Linked DNA regions of Arabidopsis thaliana. The protein of the gene in region 2 interacts with the protein of the main gene of each other region in a pairwise test. Each region holds a gene or a part of one and is shown on either strand. Other genes may lie near its edges.

What was found.
Region 1: the proteins of AT1G05410 (region 2) and APR3 interact in a two-hybrid assay, tested with the Arabidopsis thaliana proteins (one large-scale study listed by BioGRID).
Region 3: the proteins of AT1G05410 (region 2) and AT3G04860 interact in a two-hybrid assay, tested with the Arabidopsis thaliana proteins (one large-scale study listed by BioGRID).
Region 4: the proteins of AT1G05410 (region 2) and AT5G65400 interact in a two-hybrid assay, tested with the Arabidopsis thaliana proteins (one large-scale study listed by BioGRID).

Annotation. Positions count from the first base shown.
Region 1 is NC_003075.7:11,656,448-11,660,891, forward strand, and holds APR3 (APS reductase 3), read right to left. Parts: upstream 2,659-4,444; 5' UTR 2,610-2,658; coding exon of another isoform or gene 2,527-2,609; coding exon 2,448-2,526; intron 2,306-2,447; coding exon 2,171-2,305; intron 2,085-2,170; coding exon 1,949-2,084; intron 1,864-1,948; coding exon 837-1,863; 3' UTR 561-836; downstream 1-560. Other genes in the region: APG8A (Ubiquitin-like superfamily protein), read left to right, coding at 52-170, 259-362; AT4G22000 (tyrosine sulfotransferase-like protein), read right to left, coding at 3,363-3,755. UniProt on the Arabidopsis thaliana protein: Reduces sulfate for Cys biosynthesis. Substrate preference is adenosine-5'-phosphosulfate (APS) >> 3'-phosphoadenosine-5'-phosphosulfate (PAPS). Uses glutathione or DTT as source of protons.
Region 2 is NC_003070.9:1,584,851-1,589,445, forward strand, and holds AT1G05410 (CDPK adapter, putative (DUF1423)), read right to left. Parts: upstream 2,945-4,595; 5' UTR 2,746-2,944; intron 2,429-2,745; 5' UTR 2,419-2,428; coding exon 2,058-2,418; intron 1,874-2,057; coding exon 1,308-1,873; intron 1,241-1,307; coding exon 1,180-1,240; intron 1,082-1,179; coding exon 654-1,081; 3' UTR 521-653; downstream 1-520. Other genes in the region: AT1G05400 (uncharacterized protein), read left to right, coding at 1-210, 311-394.
Region 3 is NC_003074.8:1,338,286-1,342,327, reverse strand, and holds AT3G04860 (hypothetical protein (DUF868)), read left to right. Parts: upstream 1-1,704; 5' UTR 1,705-1,939; intron 1,940-2,022; 5' UTR 2,023-2,109; coding exon 2,110-2,979; 3' UTR 2,980-3,501; downstream 3,502-4,042.
Region 4 is NC_003076.8:26,129,670-26,133,859, forward strand, and holds AT5G65400 (alpha/beta-Hydrolases superfamily protein), read left to right. Parts: upstream 1-1,613; 5' UTR 1,614-1,724; coding exon 1,725-2,057; intron 2,058-2,215; coding exon 2,216-2,314; intron 2,315-2,411; coding exon 2,412-2,453; intron 2,454-2,682; coding exon 2,683-2,827; intron 2,828-3,071; coding exon 3,072-3,173; intron 3,174-3,301; coding exon 3,302-3,393; 3' UTR 3,394-3,631; downstream 3,632-4,190.

The DNA.
Region 1 (4,444 bases), on a different chromosome or scaffold from region 2:
TTTTTCTATATCATAATCTTGATAACTTATGTTTCTTCCACTTTCTTTTAGGTATCTTGTACCAGCTGATCTAACAGTGGGACAATTTGTATACGTGGTTCGTAAAAGAATCAAGCTTGGAGCTGAGAAAGCTATTTTTGTCTTTGTTAAGAACACATTGCCTCCAACTGGTAAGAGTTCTTAAACTCTTTAACACCATTCAGGATCAAAGTTTCTTTCTTTACCACTAACTTTGGTTTCACTTTTGTTTCTTAACAGCTGCATTGATGTCTGCGATCTATGAAGAACACAAAGATGAGGATGGGTTCCTCTACATGACTTACAGTGGAGAGAACACTTTTGGATCTCTTACCGTTGCTTGAATAAAAATCGATCTTTGGATGACTTTGATGTACATACATAAATCAGGAAGATAAAGATGTACATTGCTTCCTTCTTTTCTCTGGCTTTTAACTTTGCTTTGGATGTTTGGATATCTTTCCCTTTGGGTTTATTAATCGTCAGAAACTTCTCCTTTTCTTACTTTCCTCTTTTGCTTTTACTTAAATAACATTGATTTTGGGGCTAATGAGTAATGAGTCACTTTCATATCAAACTTGTTCATATCCATCACAAAGGCAAAAAAGGAGTAATACACTGAAAATTGGTAAAAATAAACTCACAAAAGGCAAAACCTTGGCGTAATTATTTTTAACCACAGCTATACAAAAGGCTAAAGCTCCAAATAGAGATTCTCATCTTCACCTTCTTCATCTGTTCTAGCAATCTGGAACGAGACTGGATGGTCTATTATTGATCTCTTCGTCATCGTAGAGTCGGCGGATTTTATTGCGGATTTACCGAACAAGATTCAAGAAAGATGTCAAAGAATCAACATCTCTCTTCTCTGATGGATACTTGATTGGTCTTGAAGAGTTCTTTGGGAACACAAGTATTGTTGGAAAGCTTCCAAGCTGCAACTCCTTTTTGGCAAAGTCCTTCTGGTCACCATCAGCTCTAAACTTAGCAACCTTCACACCACTTCCTCCCAGCTTATCCGCCAATTCATCGAATGAAGCTTCCATTGCCTGACAAAACGGGCACCACGGTGCATAAAGCACAACGATCCAAGCCTCTTTCCGGTTCTCTAACTTCATCAAATTCTCAATCCCTTGCCTGCTCAAGTTCACAACATTCTCGCTATTGAAGATATCCGCGACTGAGGCTGTCCCGTTGACATTAGCGGTTGCGTTTCCATTGGTATTCTCCTTGATATTCCCTTTGTGAAGGCCACACTCTTTAGCCTTAGCATCTTCCCACCACCATCTCCCTTCTCTCTCATGCTGACCCGGCAAAACCGCTCTCGTGCATGGCTCACATCCGATTGAAACATAACCCGCAGCGTGAAGCGTGTTGACAGGAACATCCATCGTCCTCAAGAAATTCCAAACATCATTCCCTTCAACATTAGCAACCGGATTCCACTTCACCAAACTACCAACTCCACCATCTAATCCTTCAAACACTGGATCAACCTGAACAACAGGAATCTCCGATCTTGTCCCGGGTGATTGATCTTTCCTCTGACCAGTGATCCAAGCACGTAAACCCTTCAACGCACGCCTCAAAGGTCTCACCTTTCTAATACGGCAACACTCCTGGTGACCATCTTCATAGAAAGAGAACAAACCCTTGTTCCTAACTAAAGCTTGAACCTCAACAGCATCAGGAAACATATACTCAATCCGAATACCGTAATGTTTCTCCACGGTATCGAAGAGTCTATATGTTTCTGGATTCAATCTCCCTGTATCCAAACTGAATACCCTATAAGGTCTTCCAGTTAAATGAGCATACTCAATCAGAGCAACATCTTCAGCTCCACTGAAACCAAACAAAACAACAAATCAGCAAACTAAAGGAAAACAAAAACATTCCTTTATTGTATTCTCATGATTCAATTCATTACCTAAAGGCAATAGCAATGTCATTCCCAAACTTCTCAAGAGCTTTATCCATGATCTCAAGAGGAGAAGCATTCTCTAATCTCTTTGCTAGTTCCTCAAAGTCTTCAACTTCCACCACATCTAGCTTCTCTGTAACCTCTGTTTTGTAATGAAGCACAAGATCATTAGCATAAACCTTAATCAAATTAACCAATGATCAATTGAAAAATCAAACCAGAACTTACCAGAAGCAACAATGGATTCCTTTGTAATTGATTGCACATTAAGAGCTTTCACGGAGGATCTCTTCCCGGACAAACTCAGAGAAGCCGCAGAGACATTGGTACGATTCAATAACCTCAATGATCCGATTTTTGTTACTGTATTGAAGAATCAAACAAACAAATTGAATAAGATTCGACATTGATCGAATTTGAACGAATTTAAAACCAAAACACAATGACCAATCAAGGCATTTCTAAGATTCTCCACGAATTTGGTATTGAAAATGAAATAAATTACCTTTGAGATCTGAAGAAGGGAAGCTAGAGCTTGAGATCGCAGAAGAAGAAGATGAAGAAACGTTGATTGCTAGTGCCATTTTCACTCCAAACCAAATCTCTCGAAACAATGTTCTTAAGTTTTTTTTATTTTTGTGTTGTGTTTTTTCTAATTTTGTGTTCTCTTAAGATTTGTTGAGAGAAATGGGATTATAAAAGAAGCAGCTGAAATTTAGGTTCATTGAACCTAGACGTCTTTTTTTAGGTGGCGGCATTTGCTTTTCTATATATCATTGCTTGCGTCACTTTGGTCGTGTGGCAGAGAAAACTAGTCAACTTTGGTCCAAGAATTCTTTTTTTTTCTATTAATGTAACATACACTTATCTCAAAAACATTTTACACGCTTAATTTTATTTTAGAGCTAACAAAAATAATCTAATAATAAATTAATCTAATTTGTAAAATATAAACATGGTGATATGTTTGATTATTAATTTTAGATAAATACTTTCTCGTGTATTCTTTCCTTAAAAATCCGAAAAAACGATCATATTTATAGAATTAACTAAATAAAAACAGTTGAGATTTTCTTTCACTGAGATTATTTTTCGTTTGTTACGATTCTATCATTTAGTTTAACTTATCAATTTATCTACAAAACCTATCGATCTCTTCATTTCTTCTAGAAATTGCACGAACCGATATTTCATAAACCATATTTTACAGTCAAAATTAGTCTTGGTTGAAAAACAAATTCCGATCCTAACCACAAACACTTTTGGGTTCTGTTAAAAACAAACATAAAAAAACATCATACAAAAGTATATCAGAAGCAAACTTGTGATCTTAAACCTTCCAAGATTTCATAAGATCAACAAACTAAATTATTCTTATTCATCAACCAAGTCTATAGTAATCATGATCTCAACAAATCAATTACTTGTCTTCTTTAGCTTTCTCTTCTTCCTTCATCTTCTTTTCCCACCTTCTCTTCTTATAATCAAGCAACATCTGAGGCATCTTCAACATAAGCTTCGCAGTGTTCTCTCTTTTCTCAGCTGAAATTCTATCACATTTATGCCCTTTCCTCTTTGTCCTCATAGCTTTCCTCTCTGGATCATAAGGCCAATCTTCTCCATTAGTCAACACTTCTTTCCTCAGCATAGCCCTCCTTCGTGCACTTATCCCTAACGGTTTCCATGCTCCCATCTCCCAATAACCCCACACACCTTTCGTCAACTCGGTTCTGTACTTATCGAGTTTCGCCCTCCATGGATGTTGAAACCCTGTCACTGTCTTTGCCACAGCTTCTGCAGCTTTTCCAGCCATAACTTCTGCATATGCCCAAAACCACAATTCTTTAAAGATGATAATATCTCATTGTAATCCAATTAGCTCACAATAAGTTAAGAAACCTATAAACTTGCTAGCTAAAAGCAGAGGAGATCAATTGAAGGAAGGTATTATATGATAGTGATGCATAGAAGCAAAAAGATACAAACTTTGAATCCAAAGAGAGATTTGGTGATGCATAGAAGCAAAAAGATACAAACTTTGAATCCAAAGAGAGATCATAGTGAGAGTGAACTTGACACAACATTTCTTACAAATCAAACGCAGATTGGTTGAAATGTTGTTAAAAGAAGAGTCTTTGGAGACTAATTCTTGATTTACTACGCAGAAATGTGATGCAAATGGATCTAAATCCTCTAAAATTAGGGTTTGATAAGCTCAACGCAAGGATTTAGTGACTGGGTTTCGTTAACTAAACATCATCACAATCGATTTCGATTCCAAATCTAAGCCTCTCGAGTACGGGAGCAACTAGGTTCATCAATCTCTTATAGCTTAATACGAATCTACTTAGAGATCGATACGAAACTTGGAATCGGAATGAGAGAAAGAACTTACATAAAATTGGAGATCGGAGACTGTGAGAGCAACTTTGAGAACGCGGCGCTGATGAAGAACGCAGACAAGGGTTGGGTTTTTTGGCGTTAGTAAACCCTTTTCCTATT
Region 2 (4,595 bases):
TCTCCTCGAGAAGCCTCCTCCACCCTCTGGAAAAACTTTCTTCTAGCTGATCCAGGGCCACTTGAGGAGGAGGAGGATAGCTGCAGTGAAACGCCTGGACCTGCCTCCTGGATTTGCTCTGTGTGCCGTCGTATTTGTGGCCCAGGTATTGCTGGCCAAGGCGTTGATAATTTCATCACGCATCTCTCTACTCGAGAACATGAACTCAAGGTAATTTAAGCATCCTTGCCACTTGTTTAACTATATTCTCTCTTTCTCAGTTGTTCTTTTCTTTGCCTAAATTTGACCCCGTCTGTCTTTTTCCTCGCAGCGTCAACGCTTTACTAACCCCAAAGGTGAGCCTCCTCTTGATTCTTGTCCGGAGAATGCTACTAGGGGTGGCAACCAAAGTTGATCATATTATGTTTTTGTATCTCTTTAAGGCCATTTAGCTAATTGATGGCTCCAAGTTTTTAATTCCATAATTGTCATTTTAAATCTCAATTTATGAAGGAGAAGACCTTTTCATTGTACCTTTTGTGCATTTGTTACTCGTAAATTGATTAATGAATAAACAAATGACCATCCAAAACTCAGATTTACGAGGAAGAATCAAAAACTTACAAAACAAACGTCATAACGAATGTACAATTATGGATGTGCTTATATAAATCTTAGTCCTCGATGTTTAGATGAAAGTACTCTTCAAGAACCCCTCTAGGTGTCCTACCAAATCCCTTGGCTACTTCTTCCATTTCTTTAAGCTTTGTGACTTCTTTTCTAATCTGATCCAATCTCTTCAGCACATTCGTCATCAAGCTATTCGCATCTGTACCTGATACTCGCCTCGACAGCTCTGACTTCTCCTTCTCGAGCTGCCTATACAGATCACTCAGACATTCTTTCTGAGCATGAAGTTTGCCTTCTGCAATTTGGTACTCAAATTCCTGAGCCTTTCTCAGCGCTCTTAGAACCTCGCCGATTTCTTCTTCGAGTTTGTGCATCTCAGCCTCATGGTTGAATGGTATGGGCCCAATTGGAGTCACGTCCTGTAAACTTTGCAATGTATCATTTTCTCTAGCTTCTCCACTGTCGGAGTAATCTACAACCAGAATGAAGATAATCTGTTATAATGAACAATAAATCAACTTCAATACATATTCAAGTCAAAGCAAAGGATCGTGATTAAGGGATATGTACCTGACCATATAGTTGGTGTATCATCATTCCAGAGATCTTCCAAGCTCGTGCCACATTTAAGCTGAAAAGAGTTGGCTTTAGTTTCAGGAACGTCCAGTAAACATTACATTTTACAAAGTATATTATACCTTGATGACTGTTGATTCGATACAATTTAATAGCTCCTTAGCATTGTCTCTTTGTGCTCCCCGCAAGATACAAATACCGAGATTCAGGATCTTCTCCACGTCGCCTTGATATTCTACAGTCTGACATATTTCTAGAAACTTGTTGACATGTGGAAACAAGTCCTTTTTGGCGTCACATCGCCTGCAGTAGTATTCAGTATCCAATCCCATGCTGCCTCCAATGGTTCCAGCCAGATAAGCTCGAAGAGCACAGTTCATATGAGCAACATGTCCACATATGTGACCCTCGGAAACCACAGCTTCACATTTGATATAGCTATAGCCTCCATGCTCCAAACTTATTAACTTGCAGCAAAGGATGCAACAGCAATCAACGCAGAACTTACGTTCACCGCAGCAAATGTCACAAGGCATAGCAGGTAAAGTCTCGGCTTCGCACTGTGGCATCAGGCTCCGGCATTTTTCATTACCAGCCTTACAGACCGCAGTATCAGATCCATCATCACGCATTGGATCTTCATCTGAGCTATACACTGGTAACTGAACCTGCTTCTGAGGCAAAACACCTGTCAAACAGAGAACAAATCACCATGCCAAGAAATCAGTAACTTGTTCAGAATGTTGAAACGTAATTCATATGGTTAAGAAGAACTAACAGAAACATGCGATGAGAGAAGCATAAGGAAAAACATAGTAAGTCTACTGGAATTGTATATATTTGAGTAAAGCATCATATAGAGTAAATTGAACCTTGACCATCTCTGCAGGGTATGCTCCAGCTGAAAGAAGCAAAGAACTTTTGAACATCCGCTTCAGGGAAGTGTACACGAATATATCGTTGGAGCGAGAGCCTGCTCCTAAACACCTTATTTTTCCGCAATATTTCAGTATCTAAACCGGGAAGATACTTAGGAGGATATAAGTATCTATCCACGAAGTAGCCTTTACCGCTAATTCTCGGTCCAACCTTCCAATGCCAAGTATCTCCAGGATTAGGCCAATTCTCAGGAGCATAAGGTAAACCTTCACCAGATTCCAATGGACTTACTGGTCTCAGCAGAAGGTGAGGCGATTCACCTATGTTACTTTGATCAATATCCATGGAGTCCATGTTATAAGACCTGCACTCAATCACAAAACCAATGGAAGCAGCTTCAATAAGAACAACATGAAGGAACATTAATCAAATATGCTAGATACACTACTGATATAGCTCAGTTCCTATACACACAAGAGAAAAGGCTCAGCTACAAAACTAATTTTCAATTTCTTAATCCAAACAGAACCAATATTGTCAAGAAAAAGACCCAAATTGAAACGCATGCATAATATTTGTTTAAGAGCAAAACGAGTTTCGATTTCACGGTGAAGCAGAAACTGCAAATCAGGCAAACGGAATCCATTAAAACCGACGAGGAAAGGAAGAAGAGAAACGTACAATCTCCAGAGACTTCAAGACTGATTAATTTCAGAAGATCTCAACGATAGTTACTTCTTTCTTGGCCATGAAAACCTGGAGCTTTAAAACGACAATGGTTGATGCTAGGGCCGAAGTAGGGGCCTTGGGAAGAACAAGAACTCGAAATTCGGAGGAACCAAAGTTTTATTGTAGGGTTTGAGCGAAGATCAAAAACATCAATGTATCAAACATTTCACATTTCAATCATTGGGCCTTCTTGGGCCTATCTTTAAAAAGCCCGGGTCGGGTCGGAGTAATAAACAGTAACCGGCTTGGTTCACAGGGATTGGTGGGTCCATGACAAAATTGTAACATTGCAATCAGGCAGTATTTTGGAGAGTTTGAAAACGATATTGAATGTGACAGTGTCTTATGACAAGAGATATCTACAATGGAGTTTTATGTGAGTCTGATGTTCACACTCGAAAACTTTCACAAGTTGAAGAATCATGTGATTTTGTATCTTGATGTCAATGTTTCCCATTCATGGAGCTTTTGTCGACAAGTTTTGACATGTCCCTACAATATAGCAACAACACTTGTGTGACATAGATATTGAAAGAGAGATAGATATACCCATTCGCATTTTTATAAGATTCCTCTTGTGATAAATCCAATGAAACTATATGATGATTTCAAAATAATACAAAAATAGAAATTGATCTCAATGTACCTTCCAAAGAAAAATGACAACGTGTGGGGCTAAAAATTGCTGTACCATCATATCTGACACCTTGATTCCATTTTTTTTTTATACACCAAACAATGAGTAGAGCATAAAGGCCTTTCGTATTACAAGCATTTATTACTTACCATATTTAAAATAAAAAAACTTACCATATTATTGTCGATCTAGTATATATATATATATAGATCGATATTTCTACGTATAAATAGGGCGATGTTGTGTGACATGTCTCTCAGTCACCACTTTTGGCGGGTTCTCGTCGACAGAGATTGATCAAATCTAATTATTATTGTTGATGATAGAAAGTTGTCATGCATAGATTTCTCAAGCGAGAATATTCATTAATATAGGATTCTCATTTTTTAATTCTTCGCTCTGAAGTTGTAACCTAGTAGCTTGTACTAGGTACATGCCATGTTGTAACATTGGTTAGATATTTGTAAATTTTAGAGGCTTTAAATGCAAAAGATTATATTCGGACTACTCGATCATAAATTTTGGTCTAGTAATCTGCTTGAACATTGATTTTGCGGAGCAATTCTTGATGAGAAGCAATTTTATGATTTTATCCCAAAACTAATCGCGACATGATCATTCGGTGAATTTGTTGCTAGGAGAAACAATGGTCTAAGATAAACTGAAAAAGGGAAGAGAACAAATATTAGTTAAGATTGATCAATGAGAAGTGAAGTGAGTCAGTGTACTTTGCACAAACATCGATCTTTCGTCTTTGAGTCATGAGATGGCCAGTTTAGGTTAGTCCAAACATTGCCTCCTCGTGAGTTCTTGCTGTATATATTTGCAAGGACAATAATTCCTCTTATTTGGCGTTAATTTATTTATTATGTCTAGAGTTCGTAAATGAATTGAAGAAAATTATTTACTAAACAATAAAGGTTTTGCTCTCCCCGCAGAATTTTTGCCTATGACATTAAGAAAAAAAAAGCGTGAAAATATAAAGATAAACAGTACAATTTTGGATTATATTGTTGAAGTTTACTCATATAATTTGTATATGTTGATAATGGAGAAAACATATAAATATTTGCATGTCCGTATATAACCTTATTTCCCTTCTATCAAATCTAAGAAAAAAAACAAATACTTTACGCGTAGGCGCTTTTTCATGTTTAAAGTTTCG
Region 3 (4,042 bases), on a different chromosome or scaffold from region 2:
CTCAAGAAATGATAATCCGAATCAAATATGGGCTGGTGTATTTAAAAAGGCTGAGACCCAAAACAATATTTTTGTTTGGCAACATCTATATATATATATTTTTGCAACACTTTTATGAAATAAATCCATAAATCCTGAAATTGAGGTTTATTTACAATCCAATGCTATTGGCATTTAATATTTTAATAAATTTATTCTTAAATCTAAATATAAATCAATTTTGTTACTAAAATTTAGAAAACAAAAAGAAAAATAGTCACAGAAATCATTTAAATCTTTTCAAATCTAAACTAAAATATACTACACACTAACTTAAAATTAACTTAAAATCATTTAAATCTTTCCAAATTTAAACTTCTAAAATAATTAAAATATTTTGCCCAAAAAACAAATAATAATAAAAATATCATGAGACAAGTTATATAGTGAAGCGGATTTGGATTGATATAACACGGGTTAAATATTTATTTATTATTTTATCATCACTAATTTTTTATTTACAATATTAATATAAAATTATATAACTTTAATATTAAATTAAAACCATAAAATTTAATATTATTATATATATAAATAAAATATTTGTCCCGTGGTGTACCACGGGTTAAATCCTAGTATCACTTATTTCTGTTTTGTTTTAACGTTTTTAAGATTTTATAGCTTCTTGAAAGAAACGACTCATCCTACAAATTACAATCTTTGTCAATGTTTAGGATTTTTTATTTGCATTTTTATCTTCTGTTTTGAGAAGATGTCCGTCGCTCACAAGTAGATAGGGAGACATATTATTAATTTTAAATCAATACTAGTATAAAATAACAAACGACACCAACAACACGATAATATTAATAACGAAAATGAGACTACGATAAAATAAAAAAATAAAAAATCAGATCCCAAGAAAATAATGTTAAACTACTGGGACCTGCTTTATTACAGGTTGGTCCAAATTTCAATCGGAAACATACATAATGATAATTAATTATTCCAAGACTTTTGCGGTAGCATTGCCAAACAAAAGGAAACAGTTTAACCTATTTGGTATGATAACTTTGTTCGTTTTGATAATTAAACATATGCTCTTCACCCACCTATTTGGTTGACAATGGAATGAAGAGTCAAGACATATGATTGATTATCGTATGAAAAATTCAATCGCTAAACTACCTCTAAAAACGGTATATGACTAATTAATCCATTAGCGAAAGCCCAAGAGAGCAGTGAGAGTGGGCTCAATCGTGGGTATTAACTACATGCCTACTACAAGTCATGAGATACCAATGGTTATCATACCACACGTGGCAACCATTCCTTCCAGCCTTTCATATACTTTTTTAATTTTTATCCTACTTTTTTTTTTAAGAATATACATAAAAAATTCACTATAATGAGACAAAGTTAAAACCCTTTATTATTTAACTTAAAGCACAGAAGAAAATGTGAGTATTTGTGTCAAAAATAACAAAGTTCGAACCAAAGTTTGTAAATTTTTTGATTAAAATCTAAGATGATGTAAAAAAGAAAAGAATGTAAATAATGTTTTTGTCCGAAATTTATTGTTACAGTCGTTTTCCGCTGAATTAAATTCGAATTTGGTACTTTGCCAAGAAAATCGGGTAATTATTTTAACGTTTTTAGAAAAAATGACTCAGACAGTGAAAACAAAGTTTCCTTTTTGTCTGTTTCTGTCTTTTATTTTTGACTACAGTAGTAGGCACACACACATTCTCTTCTATTTTGGCGAATTTCGCCTTTTGTGCATTCTCTCTCTCTCTCTCCCGGAGTCTCAGGCTTTCTCTTAACTTCTCATTCTCTCCTTGGTTGATGAAACTGGATCGATTTGATAGAACCCAGATCAAATCTGTTGACATTTTTCCAGATTTCGATGCTTTTTTGAGATTGGGTTTCTCTTTCTTTTGATGAAACTTATCACTTTCAGGTAAATCCTATAGTCTAAACACTTGCTTTTACGAAATTTCGTTACTAAACTGAAGTTAAATTCGCCGCCTTTGAATTTCTCAGCGTTGCCCAGTTTTGGCCACAAGGTGTTTGTTGAAATTCCGGAGAGAGAGAGAAGCTCGAAATTGGGAATTCTGTAAGGAAAAAAAAATGAGAGATTTTCCTTCTTGCTCTGGTGAAAATGGTGTTCAGATTGCGGACTCTTCGTCTTCCTCGAGCGCTGGAAGAAATGCTCAGAATTTGGTAATATGCATCTACCGTTGCCGCATCCGAGGTAGGACTTGCTTGATCACAGTCACATGGACTAAGAATCTGATGGGTCAGTGTGTTACCGTGGGGGTTGATGATTCTTGCAACCGAAGTCTGTGTAAAGTCGAGATTAAGCCGTGGCTCTTCACTAAACGAAAAGGGTCCAAGACTCTAGAGGCGTATGCCTGTAATATCGATGTTTTCTGGGATCTCTCGTCTGCTAAATTTGGATCCAGCCCTGAACCTTTAGGAGGGTTCTATGTTGGAGTTGTTGTTGACAAAGAGATGGTTCTTCTTCTTGGTGATATGAAGAAAGAAGCTTTTAAAAAGACGAATGCTGCACCTTCTTCATCTTTAGGTGCTGTGTTCATTGCTAAGAAAGAGCATGTCTTTGGCAAGAGAACGTTTGCAACTAAAGCTCAGTTTTCAGGTGATGGCAAAACTCATGATCTTGTGATCGAGTGTGACACTAGTCTCAGTGATCCTTGTCTCATTGTTCGTGTCGATGGAAAGATCTTGATGCAAGTGCAGCGGCTTCATTGGAAGTTCCGTGGCAACGATACCATAATTGTCAATAGAATCTCTGTGGAAGTTCTCTGGGATGTCCACAGTTGGTTCTTTGGGTTGCCATCATCACCAGGAAATGCAGTGTTTATGTTCAGGACTTGTCAATCTGTTGAAAAGACCTGGTCTTTCACACAGGTCCCCACGAGCTCAAAATCTCAAAGTTTTGGGTTTTCATTGATTCTGTATGCTTGGAAGAACGAGTAGAGAAGAAGAGTTTTGAGAGTTCTTTTGTTTCTCTTGAGTGCTAACTAAAGGTTAAAAAGGAACTGTTGATTCTTGTCAATTTATTTTATCATATGATCAATTGGTTTCAATTATAGTTTTCTCGTAAAATGTTCGAACCGGATCATTGAAGTATATATCAGTTTCATATGTCAAAAGTTTTTACTTGAGACTTGTAAAGACTTTTGTTCAAAGCCGATTACTTTAGCCCTGTATCAAGAAACCAACTGTCTAGATACTCTGTTTTGTTCTCCATGTGCATAATGTTCCTCAATACACTTGATAGTTCTAACTACATTAAGGGTTTCTTTGGTGTATGGTCTTTCTTCTATTGGCTGTTCAATTGTGGACAAATCAGATTATAACGATCTGAGCTAAAGCTAGTAGTTACAAGAAGATTATCAAACATGTGCTTTGCATCCATCTAGATATTCTTGCTGAATCATTTTATCAAGTATATGTATCTTCCTTTTAGAGATATATCATGTATTTGGTTTTGTTTAGCGCCATACCTTTTGAGACATTGTATATAGCACTTTGTTATTATCCAGCTCTTTGCAGTTTCTGCAGGTTTAAAGAGTATTTTATCAAGGATTCTAGAGAGACGTGGGTTTGTACTTGAAGATTCTTAAATTGTGAATCAGTAAGTCATGTTTCAAGTTTTCACATTTCAATTATTTCCTTGCTGCGGTCTCTTCTCTAGCCCTCCTAGACTGCTAAAAAAATTAAAGATTATAATAGCATGATAGATACTCTTGCTGAATCATATGGTTTAGGTAGGGTTTTCAACTTGCTTCAAACAAACCTCTCTATAGTTGTTCCTGTTCCTTAGAAAAACTGTCTGAATAATGTTTTGAGTTTTGACTGTTGGGTTTGTCCAAATAATGTTTTGAAAACTTTTCCTTGAAGCTGTTCTTGTAGCATGAACCCGTGACATGAGAGAGTTTGCAAAGTTTATTATGATTCGATATCCACCGAAAAGTGTACAACATAGCACTCTTGCTTGAAAGAACATCAAAGTTCTCTTGGATTGTCAAGTCAGAGA
Region 4 (4,190 bases), on a different chromosome or scaffold from region 2:
TGTAGTCGCATATATGTATATATATAATTTTGTAGGATTTTTAGGTTAACTCAATTTTTAGCTCTTAGTTGTAAATTTGTCATTTTTTAATGATTTGGTAAGTATAGTAGATGAGAAATCGAAGTTGAGAACCAATTCTATCCGTTGAGTATAAAATCATCAATGGTTTTAGAAGACCGGATTGGTTTAGCTAAATCGAATCATGATTGTCAATAATAATTGGAGAGAGAAAACGTATAATGAAGTAGTATTGAATATTGTATCATGTTTGTCTTACTGTCTAATCGATCCACCCACCGATAATAATAGTATACTTTTTCTGATATAGTAAATAGTAACGATCTCTTTGCCCGTATACGATGAACCTTAATGACAAAAATACAGATCTATCAAGAAAGAACGATGTCGTTATTATCGTATATCCCATGTGCGTAGCAGACCTATCGGGATAATTTTTGATTACTGGTTATGGTTTTATTGTTGTCGTTACCGTTGGATATTTGCTGTTTTTCGTTTTATTTATTTTCTTTTGTCCATTACTATCTCTTGTGTTTGTTGCTAGTAGTAACAAGAGTTGGAGATAGCTGTCAGAGAATTTTATATAGTTGAATAATAAATACAAATATTATAACCCCAAATAAAACGGGTACATATACATTACAACATAACATAACAACGGAAGAAGACATTTGATAGCCTGTAAAGGTCATTTTACAGTGAATCCAGAAGGTTCGTATTAATCATTAAATTAAAATATAATCGGTATTTGACAAAATGAACTGAATTATAGTTGGCAATTTTATGAGGCCCATATGATGCGAAACCAACCGACGATTATACACTATACCTACAATTTTTATTGCACTGACTCGATTGATTAATCCCTAACTAAAAGTTCAAAATATTTGCATCCAACTTTATTTTCATTAGTGTGAACATCAATATAAAGAATTGAGAAGATCATTACAGGTTGTTTCAGATGATAACGACAAGTTCGTTATATATGCACTATAACTTGCTTTGTTACATATGCTATAAAGTTCATTTGCAATATATACGATTTGATTACATCAGTGTGGGATTCCTAGAGGATGAATTAAGTGTTAAAAATGAATCTATACATAGTAGTTTGCTTTGAATCCATATGAAAAAACTGTTGAGGTTTAATGTCGAAATTTCTTTATCTTTGGCTTCGGCTGCAGTCAAAATTGCCGAAAGACCACCTCGACTCCAAACCATTTTCTTGATAATTGTAAAAAAAAAAAAAAAAAAAAACATGATGTCCCATATGCGTGTCTAATAATATATATAGCCAAGAAGCATATATTTATTTAGGGGAAGAGAATGCTAAAGCATGAGTTTTGTGCTGGCTTTATGTTGTTGTAACTCTTAGAGCAACATGTATTCACTTCTAACTGAACTTTACATAATTTAAAGCATGATTTGGATTATCTAAAAAAAAGTTAGATTATGATGAATATACAAGTTTTTTTTGTTAGTGGAAAACTCTCATTTCTTCGAGTAAGCTTCTCCATACATAATTTTCATTGTCTATATATATATTGATCTATTTGTAATTGTAACTCTTGAAAGTTTGGAAAATATTTGTAATAAGAGATAAACAATGATATGGGCCGATATTTGCGAAACTGATTTCAAAGGATTCTTCTTTATGGGCCTATAGAGTTTTGGGCCTTTCTACCAAAACTTTCGCGACAAGCGATATGTTAGGGCACAAGGACAATTCGAAACCTGAGAAGAGAGCTAGAGCTTGTCAGATGTTAGGATACTCCTATCCTTGTTTCCAAACGGGATTACGGTTAACGACGGCGATGGCGCCGGAAATTCACCTGAAACCGAAGAACCCTAGAATTTTATGCCTTCATGGATTCAGAACTAGTGGTCGGATTCTCCAAGCCGGTATAGGTAAATGGCCGGACACAATTCTCCGAGATCTCGACCTCGATTTCCTTGACGCTCCTTTTCCGGCCACCGGGAAATCGGACGTCGAGCGTTTCTTTGACCCACCGTATTACGAGTGGTACCAGGCTAACAAGGTTCGTTGCAACAAAATCCTAAATTTCCTTGAATTCAGTATTGATCATTGACACTGTTAACACTATCAGAGTAAAGGTTGTTTTTTTTCTCTAGAAAACAGAGAGATTTGGTCTAAGTTTGTATACATAATTTGATTTGTGTGTGTGTGTGTTTGCAGGGGTTTAAGGAATATAGGAATTTTGAAGAGTGTTTGGCTTATATAGAGGACTACATGATAAAGAATGGACCTTTTGATGGTCTTCTTGGTTTTTCTCAGGTTTGTTTTGATTCTTTGGCGAGATTTTAGTACTGATCACTTTCATATATATCAGCAGGAGGATCGTGGACCGTTGATTCTTGATCCATTCTTGCAGGGAGCTTTTCTAACTGCAGCTATTCCTGGAATGCAAGAACAGGTACATAACTGCATAACTGATCATAATCCTGGTTCTGAGATTGAATCTGCTTATGATATTTTGAAGAATGAAACCTATTGTTAGAGTAGTTTTCTATTGTTCTGTTTTGAGCAAGTGTGTGATGTTGAAACCATTTATATGCAACAGAGAGGTTGAATCTGAATTGAAGAATGAAACATGTTGTTTTAATAGTTTGAGTAAGTCTGTGATGTTGTAAACTGTTTTGTAGGGATCGGCTCTAACTAAGGTGCCAAAAGTCAAGTTTTTAGTTATCATTTCTGGAGCGAAAATTCCAGGGTTGATGTTTGGGGAGCCTAAAGCTGCTGTTAATGCATTCTCATCTCCAGTTCGTTGCCCATCACTCCACTTCATAGGTAAACTGTTACTACGTTGCGCATGTTCTTGACTTGATTTCTCGGTTATGTTGTAATGCCAAGTTTCTGTTGTTTGAAGCTTACGTTAGTAGTGTGCCTTTAGTGTAGCCAAGATTGGCATGGGAGTGTTTAGACTAGAATCTAATCTGCAGCACTACATGTTAACGTTAGAGATTCTCTCCTACAACATTTGATATGACATAAGAGACAACTTGTTTGTAATTCTGTATCGGTTTTGCTGCAGGTGAGAGGGATTTCCTGAAGATAGAAGGTGAAGTGCTTGTAGAATCATTCGTAGAGCCAGTGGTGATCCATCATTCAGGTGGACACATTATACCAAAACTCGGTTAGTAAGCATGAAAGGCTGATCATTTAAGCTCTGATTTTTTTTGGAGAAATATGCAATTGAAATAAGTAACATAAGATCTGTCTCTTCTTAATTTACTCTAATGAGCTTATCTTTGTCTTCTGCAGATACTAAAGCTGAGGAGACAATGTTGAGTTTCTTCCAGAGCATTAGGCAGATGCTTTCTGATGAATCAGGTTCTGTAAGAAGCTTGATGTGACTGAGAGCTACTCCAGTATGGTTTACTTTAGATTAGATGATCTTGCAATTTTATAAAATTGTGAGATGTGATTATTCTTCTGGTTTAGTCTTTATCCAGGGACAATTCAATAAACGTAAATTATTAAATTTACCAACCAATATGGATTGCCCGTTCATGTAATTACAGTTTATAGAGAAGAGCCAAAGATGGTCAAATAGTTTGGTACAATTGTCTTCCTTTAAATATATGAGCAGCCAATATCAAAAACTCTATTCAAACTTTTTTCTTTGTTATAGGAAAAATGTTAGGAGAATTTAACAACAAAAAAAAAAAATGATGGAAGAACAAAAAATATGGAGGGGGGCATCAAAGAAGGTGAGTTAAATTATTGTCCTTTAGATGTATTAATGGTCAAATGGATCTCATGATAATCTATGAGTTCCACTTGTAACAAAGTTTTACTTCTTTTTCAATCTACCCCCTTATACCCTATTAACTTAGCCTTGTCGGTTGCTTTCTAGTCTTAAAAAAAAAACAAAATTTCAACTCTTTTTTTATTCTTGTATGAAATAATTGATTGAACATATCGAATTACAGATCATATGATTACCCCTCATTTCAAAATAAATATATGATAAACAGTAGACGTCGACATGGGTTGTGTAATTTCAGACTTATATGTATACCCATCATAAGTATTCTCACGCTTGCAAAGCTTTAACTGTTTAGTTTTCATGCACTTTTAACAAATCATCATCATAATCTATTTTCAACAATTTGCTTATATCTTGAAATAGTTGTTTGGTTTAGTTTTT